2 separate regions of the Mus musculus genome follow, and region 1 is reported to be linked to region 2. The links are microRNA targets in miRTarBase. Many come from high-throughput screens and were not tested one by one. Region 2 holds a microRNA gene; the other region holds the end of a gene's coding sequence.
Evidence for each region. The annotated mature microRNA mmu-miR-1264-5p reads AGGUCCUCAAUAAGUAUUUGUU and lies in region 2 at 2,324-2,345, shown strand. An mRNA with a match to its seed (bases 2 to 7 or 8) in the 3' UTR can be bound and repressed. Matches are read on the target gene's strand: a 7mer-m8 pairs with bases 2 to 8, a 7mer-A1 pairs with bases 2 to 7 and ends in A, and an 8mer does both.

Region 1: the mRNA of Gdf3 is a reported target of mmu-miR-1264-5p. Seed matches in the 3' UTR shown: 7mer-A1 at 3,417-3,423.

Annotation. Positions count from the first base shown.
Region 1 is chr6:122,602,574-122,606,976 of GRCm38, forward strand. It overlaps Gdf3 (growth differentiation factor 3), which reads right to left. Exons shown (of 2, transcript NM_008108.5): 2 at 2,830-4,403. The coding sequence ends at 3,733. It also overlaps a transcript of Apobec1 not described here. Among named protein-coding and RNA genes, the nearest start is that of Apobec1, 2.3 kb to the left of the region's middle.
Region 2 is chrX:147,008,291-147,012,693 of GRCm38, forward strand. Mir1264 (microRNA 1264) reads left to right here and starts at 2,311; the gene lies at 2,311-2,396. All of the region lies in intron 2 of Htr2c (5-hydroxytryptamine (serotonin) receptor 2C), which reads left to right. It overlaps Mir1912 (microRNA 1912), which reads left to right and starts at 1,151; the gene lies at 1,151-1,237.

The DNA of each region.
Region 1 (4,403 bases), not on the chromosome of region 2:
CCCCCCGAAAATCCTTGAGATGGGTAAATACTAAGAGGTGAACAACCAGCAGATGAACTTTGGCCCGTTTTTCCAGATATAAAACACAGAGCAACATTCAAACTAAATGAAACCACAGACACAGACTGACAGACATGGGCAATCCAGCATGCCCAGAACCAGAAGCAAATGTTCCCTCAGTGGAAACCAGTGAAAAGCGGGCCGTCTCCTGTCCTCCTCTGACCCTCGGAGCAGTGCTGCGTCCACTTTCTCCTTTCTTGGGTCCTAGAGAGGCTCCACCAGAAAGCAGAATACAGGCTCACCTCCGGGAGTCCAGATGACTGAAAAACAGTCCGAGGTGCTGCTAATTCAGCTTAAGGGCTCAAGTAGGTTAGCGTTTGGTATCCAAATGTTAGGGTGTAAAAATCTAAAAATAAATAAATAAATAAGTCTGCCAAGTTATCCCACAAATTAGGATCTAGGGATAGAAGTCTTCCCTAGGAACTTGTCTTTGTGGTACATTCATCCTGTTCCTACTGTTTGGTTTATTCGACTGTGGTGGGAGACTTGCCTAGCAATCATGTCTCAACTTGCCAGACAGGATGTCAGTTCAACACTGAGGTCTTGGGAACTTAAACTTATTTGACCTCTGTTCAAAATGAAAGTTTTATTCAAAATGGCTTCAGTCTGGTCCCTTCTCTTTCTTTCTTTCTTTCTTTCTTTCTTTCTTTCTTTCTTTCTTTCTTTCTTTCTTTCTTTCTTTCTTTCTTCCTTCCTTCCTTCCTTCCTTTCTTTTTTTCTTCCTTCCTTCCTTCCTTCCTTTCTTTTTTTCTTTCTTTCTCCCCCCCCACCCCGCCAGACAGGGTTTCTCTGTAGCCCTGGCTGTCCTGGAACTCACTCTATAGACCAGGCTGGCTCAAACTCAGAAATCCACCTGCCTCTGCCTCCTGAGTGCTGGGATTAAAGGTGTGGGCCACCACACCAATATCCTTTCAACAAGGTTTTTACTATTTTTCTCTTCTTTTCTTCTTTTTTTCTCCTACTTTTTGAGACAAGATTTCTTTATGTGGCTCTGGCTGTCTATAACTCTCTATATAGACCACGCTAGCCTCAACTCAGAGTTCCACCTGCCTCTGCCTCCTGAGTGCTGGGATTAAAGGTGTGGGCCACCCCACCAATATCCTTTCAACAAGGTTTTTACTATTTTTCTCTCCTCTTCTTTTCTTTTCTTTTCTTCTTCTTTTCTCCTACTTTTTGAGACAAGATTTCTTTATGTGGCTCTGGCTGTCTATAACTCTCTATATAGACCACGCTAGCCTCAACTCAGAGTTCCACCTACCTCTGTCTCCCAAGTGCTGGGATTACAGATGTATAAAAAGAATGATTTTTGAACTAGGCGATAGTGGTGCACGCCTTTAATCCCAGCACATGGGAGGCAGAAGCAGGCGGATCTCTGAGTTCAAGACCAGCATAGCCTACTGAGAGAATTCCAGGATGGCCAGGACTACACAGAAACCCTGTCTCACATAAACAAAAAGTCCAGATGTGTGTGTGTGTGTGTGTGTGTGTGTGTGTGTGTGTGTGTACAGAAGAGAGTGTAGGACCCCTCAGAACCAAAGTGAGAGGTGTTTGCAGAACACCAGGCTTGTTACATAGTTGCTGGGTTCTGAACTCCAGTGCACAAAATTTAGCCACAGTCACCTCTTACCTGCTGAGCCTTCTCTCCAGCCTCCCTTTTAATAACTTTTATAGAAAGGTCCTGCTTTGCTTTACTATTGCTGTGTCAAACAAACAAACACAGCCTGGAGAAGAAAGGACTTCTTTCATCTTACACCCCAGAGAACAATTCATCACTGAGAGAAGTCAGAGCAGAAACTTAAAAGAGGAACAGGAAGCAGAAACTGAAGGGGAGAGACCATGGAGAAATGCTGAATACTGGCTTTTCCCTCATGGTTTGCTCAACCTGCTTTTCTTTCTTCTTTTCTTCCTTATTTTATTTATTTATTTATTTTATTTTTAGGTGTGTGTGTGTGTGTGTGTGTGAGATTTACTGGCACTAGAGTACATGGGAGCTGGGAACTGAACTCTGGTTTTCTGCAAGAGCAGCGCATGCTCTTAACTACTGAGCCATCTCTCTAGCCTCTCAGCTTTCTTCTTATACACCCCAGGTCCACCTGCTCAGGGGTAGCACTGCCCAGAGTGGGCTGGGCCCTCTCACATCAATCAACCATCAATAAGATGTCCTCAGACATAACCCGAATGCCGGTCTGATCAAGGCAATTCCCCATTGAGTCTCCCTGAGATAATAACTCTGGGCTGTGCCAAGCTGTCAGCTCTAGCTAATTAGAAGAAGAAAGAATTGGGCTGGAAAGACAGCTCAGTGGTTAAGAGCAATGGCTGCTCTCCCAGGGTCAGGTTCCAGCATCCACCTGGCAGCTCACAACTGTCTATAACTCCTGTTCCAAGGGATTTGACACCCTGTACAGACATATATACAGTCAAAACACCAATGCACATAAAATAGAATTATTTCTATATATAATTTTATAATACATATATTTATATATATAAATTATTTTTTAAAAAATAGGGGGCTGGAGAGATGGCTCAGAGGTTAAAAGCACTGACTGCTCTTCCAGAGGTCCTTAGTTCAATTCCCAGCAACCACATGGTAGGTTACAACCATCTATAATGGGATCTGATGCCCTCTTCTGGTGTGTCTGAAGACAGCTACAGTGTACTTATATACAAAAAATAAATAAATAATTCCTTTAAAAAAAGGATAGGAAAGTATCAAACACGTGTACACATAATCCAATATCTATTCAAACACCTTAACAAAATCTTGCTGTAATAATTCAGTTGAAGTAAATTTATTAAGAAAACCCCAGGAAGCCAGACGGTGGTGGCGCACACCTTTAATCCCAGCACTTGGGAGGCAGAGGCAGGCAGATTTCTGAGTTCGAGGCCAGCCTGGTCTACGGAGTGAGTTCCAGGACTGCCAGGATTACACAGAAAAAAGAACTGGCTCAGCAGTAAGAGCGCTGCCTGCTCTTGTGCAGGACCCACTTGAGCATCCACATGGAGGAGACGCATGATCACCTGTAACTTCAGGGGATCTGACTCCCTCTTCTGGCCGCCACGGGTTCCTGCATGTACACCGTGCACTTACACAAGCACCCACACATAAAACAAACAAGTGAACATTTTTAAAGCTCACGTAAATTTTTCTATGTTATATTTTCTCAAAATAATTTTAAAATCTTAAGATATACAATTGGATATAATATGGTACAGGGCAGGCCTTTAATTCTAGGATTCAGGAAGCAGAGGCAGTTTGATCTCTTGTGCGTTTGAGGTTAGCCTGGTCTACATAGTTATAGGACAGCCTGGTATAGAGACCATGTTTCCTGTTTCAAAAAAAAAAATTTTTTTTTTGGTCCTGGTGGCACACAGCTGTAATCCCAGCACACAGGAGGTAGAGGAAAGAGAATTGCCATGAGTTCAAGGCCAGCAAAGATGTATAATAAGACCTTGTTTCAAACAAGAACAAGAAGCCCAGCTACTATGCATAATGAGCACAAATTAAGTAAGCTCACCAAGGGGTCCATAGTCATACACAAATGTGTGTAATTGTGGGGCTCATGAACCATGATGACAGACATGTCCGATTCAAGAGAGCATAAGCCAAAGGTGGGGTGGTAGTTTTATTAAAGGATTTACCCTAAGCACACTCCTAGCCTAGTCCCGAGACTACCCACACCCACACTCATCGACTACCATGTCTTCATAATGTCGGAGAATGACGTTCTTATCACTATCCTGATAGAGCATGGAGATGGGCGAGAGCTTGGTGGGGACACAGACAGCCTTGGGGACCTTGGGGTCAGCCATATGCATCAGAGCCTGCATGAAAGCATAATTGGAACTATTTAAATACGTGGTCATTGAGAAGGGGCACTCTCCATGACAGTAATTTGCCATGAACCCCTTAGGGGCGATGACCCACTTGTGCCAACCCAGGTCCTGGAAGTTGATGAACAGCTGATGACGGTGGCAGAAGTTCCTACAGAAACCCTTGGGGACAGAGATGGCCGCCCTCCTTTTTCTGGAAGAAGGATGACAGTGTTTAGGATTGAGGGTTACCACCAGCAGCGAGGCATGGAGAGAGCGGAGCAGCCGGTCACAGGGGTTCTCGGGCTGGACAGTTACCCTGGAGTATCTGTCCTCTTTGACCAGAATCTCTAAGTGTAAGTCCAAGTTCTTCAGTCGGTTGCTGCTCCAATCCTTAAGCGCACCCTGCAGGTTGAACTGGAGCTGACCTTGAGGCCCAGGGACAGACCGCAGAAAAAGCAATCTGCCCACCTTAGGGTGGGATCGCCCCCACACGCCCCGGTCCTGAACCACAGACAGAGCAACCACCA
Region 2 (4,403 bases):
AGTATTTAGGGCTCAGCGATAGGACCTCAGGCATTTTCCTTTCCCCAGCCATAGTAATTCACACCCAGTTTGAAGTCACATGCTCTTGATGTTCTCTTTGTAACAGTATTATTTCAGTTGCCTAGATGCTCCTCATTCTTTAAGTCCCAGGTTATGTGTGACTGTTTCATTAATCTCCCATGATACATACACCAGCAACCCTCACTATTTAAACTCTGTCTCTTATTTTACTTGGCTCTGTTGTATTTTTACAGCATTATTCTTCTGCAATTATCTTGTGCATTTGTTCACTTCCTTATTAACTCTCTCCCTGTCCTGCCTATTTATTCTAAATTTGATTGTAGCCAGGACTTTAGTTGTTTCCAGACAACTGCATTGCAAGAAACTTGTTCATTAAAAAAAAAAATAGGTAATTAGTCATCACATAGCTACTCCATAAAGTCTAACATTTAATTCAGGGTCATGGAACTGAAAAATAACATAAAAGTTGTTGGGAACATTTCAGGAAAAAAAAACAGCACAAAAAATATTAAAAAACAAGACCTATGAGGAAAATACGTTGATTCAGGTAAGACCAAGAACCAGTTTTACTTAACTTTTTATAATTGACAGAGATCTTTGACCTATTAAAGTCTTTTATCTTTTGAAAAAAAAATAGCAAATTTAGTTACTGATGTCCCTGTTTAATAGGTATAAACTGAGACCCAGAGATTGAACTAATTTGTACAAATTCAGAGAAATATAACATGTAATCCAGGTTTTCCTTCTTCCTATGTCCAATATTTTTTTTTCTCATAAAACCATCTATCTACAGGATCACTAACCAGAGTAGGGAATTTAGTTTGGATGTAGTGAACAATGACCTTTTCTATTTGAGTTTATAAATTTTTATGTTATCTCAGGAGGTTCTCAAATATCAACCTTTATTTGTGGTAGCTATTTGTTTTCTTTATATGGTTTGAAAGAGTATGTAGTGCAATGGTAGAGGGTGACAGATTGCTAATCTATTGGTTCTTCAATTTCCAATATTCCATAATTCTTTGGTTAAGTTTTCCACTTTGCCAACTAATATTTCAAATATACTTAATATTTTTTAACTTAACAAGCTGATGACCCCTTAACAACTATTGAACTACATATCACAAGCATATTAGTCTCTAGGATGTGCTCATTGCATGGGCTGTGTAGATTTTTATTTAATACACAGAACATGCAGTGAGAACTTGATAGAGATTGGAAGACATCCAGAAGAATAAACCACGAATTCTTATAGGATAACTTTGTATTTGGTACAGATTAATTAACTAACCATCCATTTAAAGGTTTTTACTAATCCTGTCTCCAAACACCACAACCTAGATTCAAAAACACACTACTTGAACTTCCATATTGATTCTATTTTTATTTGTTACTTGATATTCTTCTTTACATAGATTGTTAAAATTTCACACAGAGTCAAAGTTAGCTTTTTAGTAGAATTATAAACAATAATTCAGATGCTAGAGAAATGGCTTAGCAGTTAGGAGTACTTGTTGCTCTGGCAGAGGACCAAGGTTCAATTCCCAGCACCCAAAATTTGGTTTACAAGTGTTTTTTAACTCCACCTTCAGTGAATCTAACACCCTCTGATGGCCTCCTTGGGCACTGCATGCATGTGGTGCACTTATATACGCAGGCAAAGCATTCACATGCATCAAAGTAAAAGAAAGACAATTTCCTCAAATATCCCATTGATTCAACAACATAAAACTTTTGTTTCAAATATATTATGACCATGTGTCAAAAATTACATTGATGACACATTAGATGCAGATGTTTTACATTATTAATGGGATATTAATAAATATGTCACCTGATGCTCACCTCATTCTTACATTTGAAACTTATTATTGAAAATATTCTGAATAGATATATGTCATTCATTTTAAATAGAAGACTTTTCTAGAGTAGTAGAATGATTTAGCTTGATTTGAAAGCATAGCAATCCTTGCACATTTAATACTTATAATTAAAACGTACTTGTTCTTGTTTTGGCATCTCCTTGTTTATGTAAGGAAGCAAAGCCAAACTAAATATGTATTAAAAAGTCTAATTGAAGAGCCAGAATAAAACACATTATAGGTCAGAAACACAACAGCTCTATATTTAGATACAACTAAGAACAAAGTAGAGATAAAAGGAGGTTTATAAAGAAAATGATTTAGTAATTACTTTTTAGAAATATTGAAACTTCTATGTCATATTGAAAAATATGGTCGAACTTTTTAAAGACAATGTCAGGATACATAGAACACGTTATATTTCTTCATGCCTGGCATATAGCAGGTCCTCAATAAGTATTTGTTGAAAAAATAAATGAAGCAACAAATCTTATTTGAGCACCTGTTATGTGGAGGATAAAAAACTACAAACCAAACAGAGCTTGTGATCTTATATGGGAGAGAATGAATATAAGGTAAATGTACAAATGACTATCATTTTTGAAACTGTAATAATATCAAATACATCTTTTAAAAAGATCACAGATGCGCAGTTCATGTCCCATTATCAAAGAATTTAGAGACTTGAACCTGGGACTTATATGAAGTATGGGAGCAAAAGCATTTCTTGTAGAAATTTAAGTATTTATAAAAAGGAATACTAAATCAGTAATCTTACAAGGGTCAATAAATTAAAATAGAACTTCCTGGATCACCATAAAACCTTTTCATAACCATTTTTCTTAATGTCTTCAGCATATTACATTAACATAGTATGAAATAATGTGAGTTCCTTAAAGGCTTTGTGCCTCTTAGTTCTTTTTTACTTACATGTATTATCTATCATTTATAATAAAACTTATCCAAAAGGTTTTTATCCATTATTTATAGTAAATCGTATCCAGAATGTTTTTAAGTACCTTGTCCATCATTTTACTACTTTTCAGGTTTAATTTCTAGCCAGTTACTTGAAAGTAATTTGAATATGAAAATAGCATTTGTTGTTTCTAATTTTAAAATTCCACTGGAGATAGGACAATAGATAATGTATTTTAACCGAACACCTTTCCTGAGAAGATCAAGGAATAAAATGTTTTACATTTGAATTGCTCCTATGACATCTTTGTAAGGTATAGCTGTTATTGTTGATTTTATCGGACTAGAGGTATACATTAGGAAAAACAAATTGGTTAGTCTACTTTATGAATGATGTAAAGACCACTTTGAATATAAACTAGTATTGTTATCAATTTTCATGAAGGATGCCCTCAATCTCTTTTTCTATTTATTTGTTGATTTTTCTACTGAGAGTTTTGCTGTTGGTTTGGTTGGTTGATTGAGATTGTTTGTAACAAGATACCCAATAGCCTAGTCTGGTCTTAAACTGACTATGAAGCAGAAGATGACCCAGAAATTCTGGTCCTCCTGCTTAAAGGTATGCACCACAATATCTGGCTCCACAACAGTCTCATTTATGAGACAGGAACTAGATATACCTGCCCTTCTCTTCATTTTCCTCCTTTAATTTCTCCTCGCTTTTTCCTTTCATTTTCATTCTATGTACAAAAATTATGCAGATGTTATTCACTGTTCTGTATTCAATTACTTATACATACATGGGCTTGAGTGGTAATCCATATAGATAAAATGTTTGATGAATGATTTAGTAATCATCTGTTTTAGAAATATGGACTTATTTAAATGCACTGTGACTCTTAAAAACAAACTAGGTGGATCCACTGGGACTGCAATCCATAACTCTGCAGTTTGATTGGCTGAATTTTTTTGTAATGATCTTCATGTGTTGTAAGAAGTTTATTTGATGAAGGGTGAGGACTGCACTTATCTGTGCACATAAGGACAAATGTTTAGAATTTAATTAGAGACTATACTGACTTACTAAACTGATTGTTGTAGGTTATCCGCCAAGATTCATGACTTCACTGGCTAAGACTTGGCTAAGTTTCCCGTATTACGCATGGTCTATCAGTAACATGTTACAAATGGAGCAGGAACAGTTTATACACACACACACACACACACACACACACACACACACACACACACACACACACATATATATATATATATGAATGTGAAGAGATGAAGAAAGGATATATAGGGAGGTATGAAAGGAGAAAAGCTAAGGGAGAAATGATGCAACTTTATTATAATTTCAAAAAGAAAAGAAAATCATGGAAGAAAATCACCAGAAGAAGATAAATGTGAGTTCTGAATATTGAATACTAAAAAAATTCAAATTGCTTTTATGTCATTCAATTTTTAAATATTCATATTACTACTCTACCCTATCTTCATAAGAGTATTATATGACTTTTACTAGTACAATCTTTTTATTATTATTTGCAATGATAATTGATCCCATATCATTGTTTTGCTGCTTCCATATACTAATAGGTAATT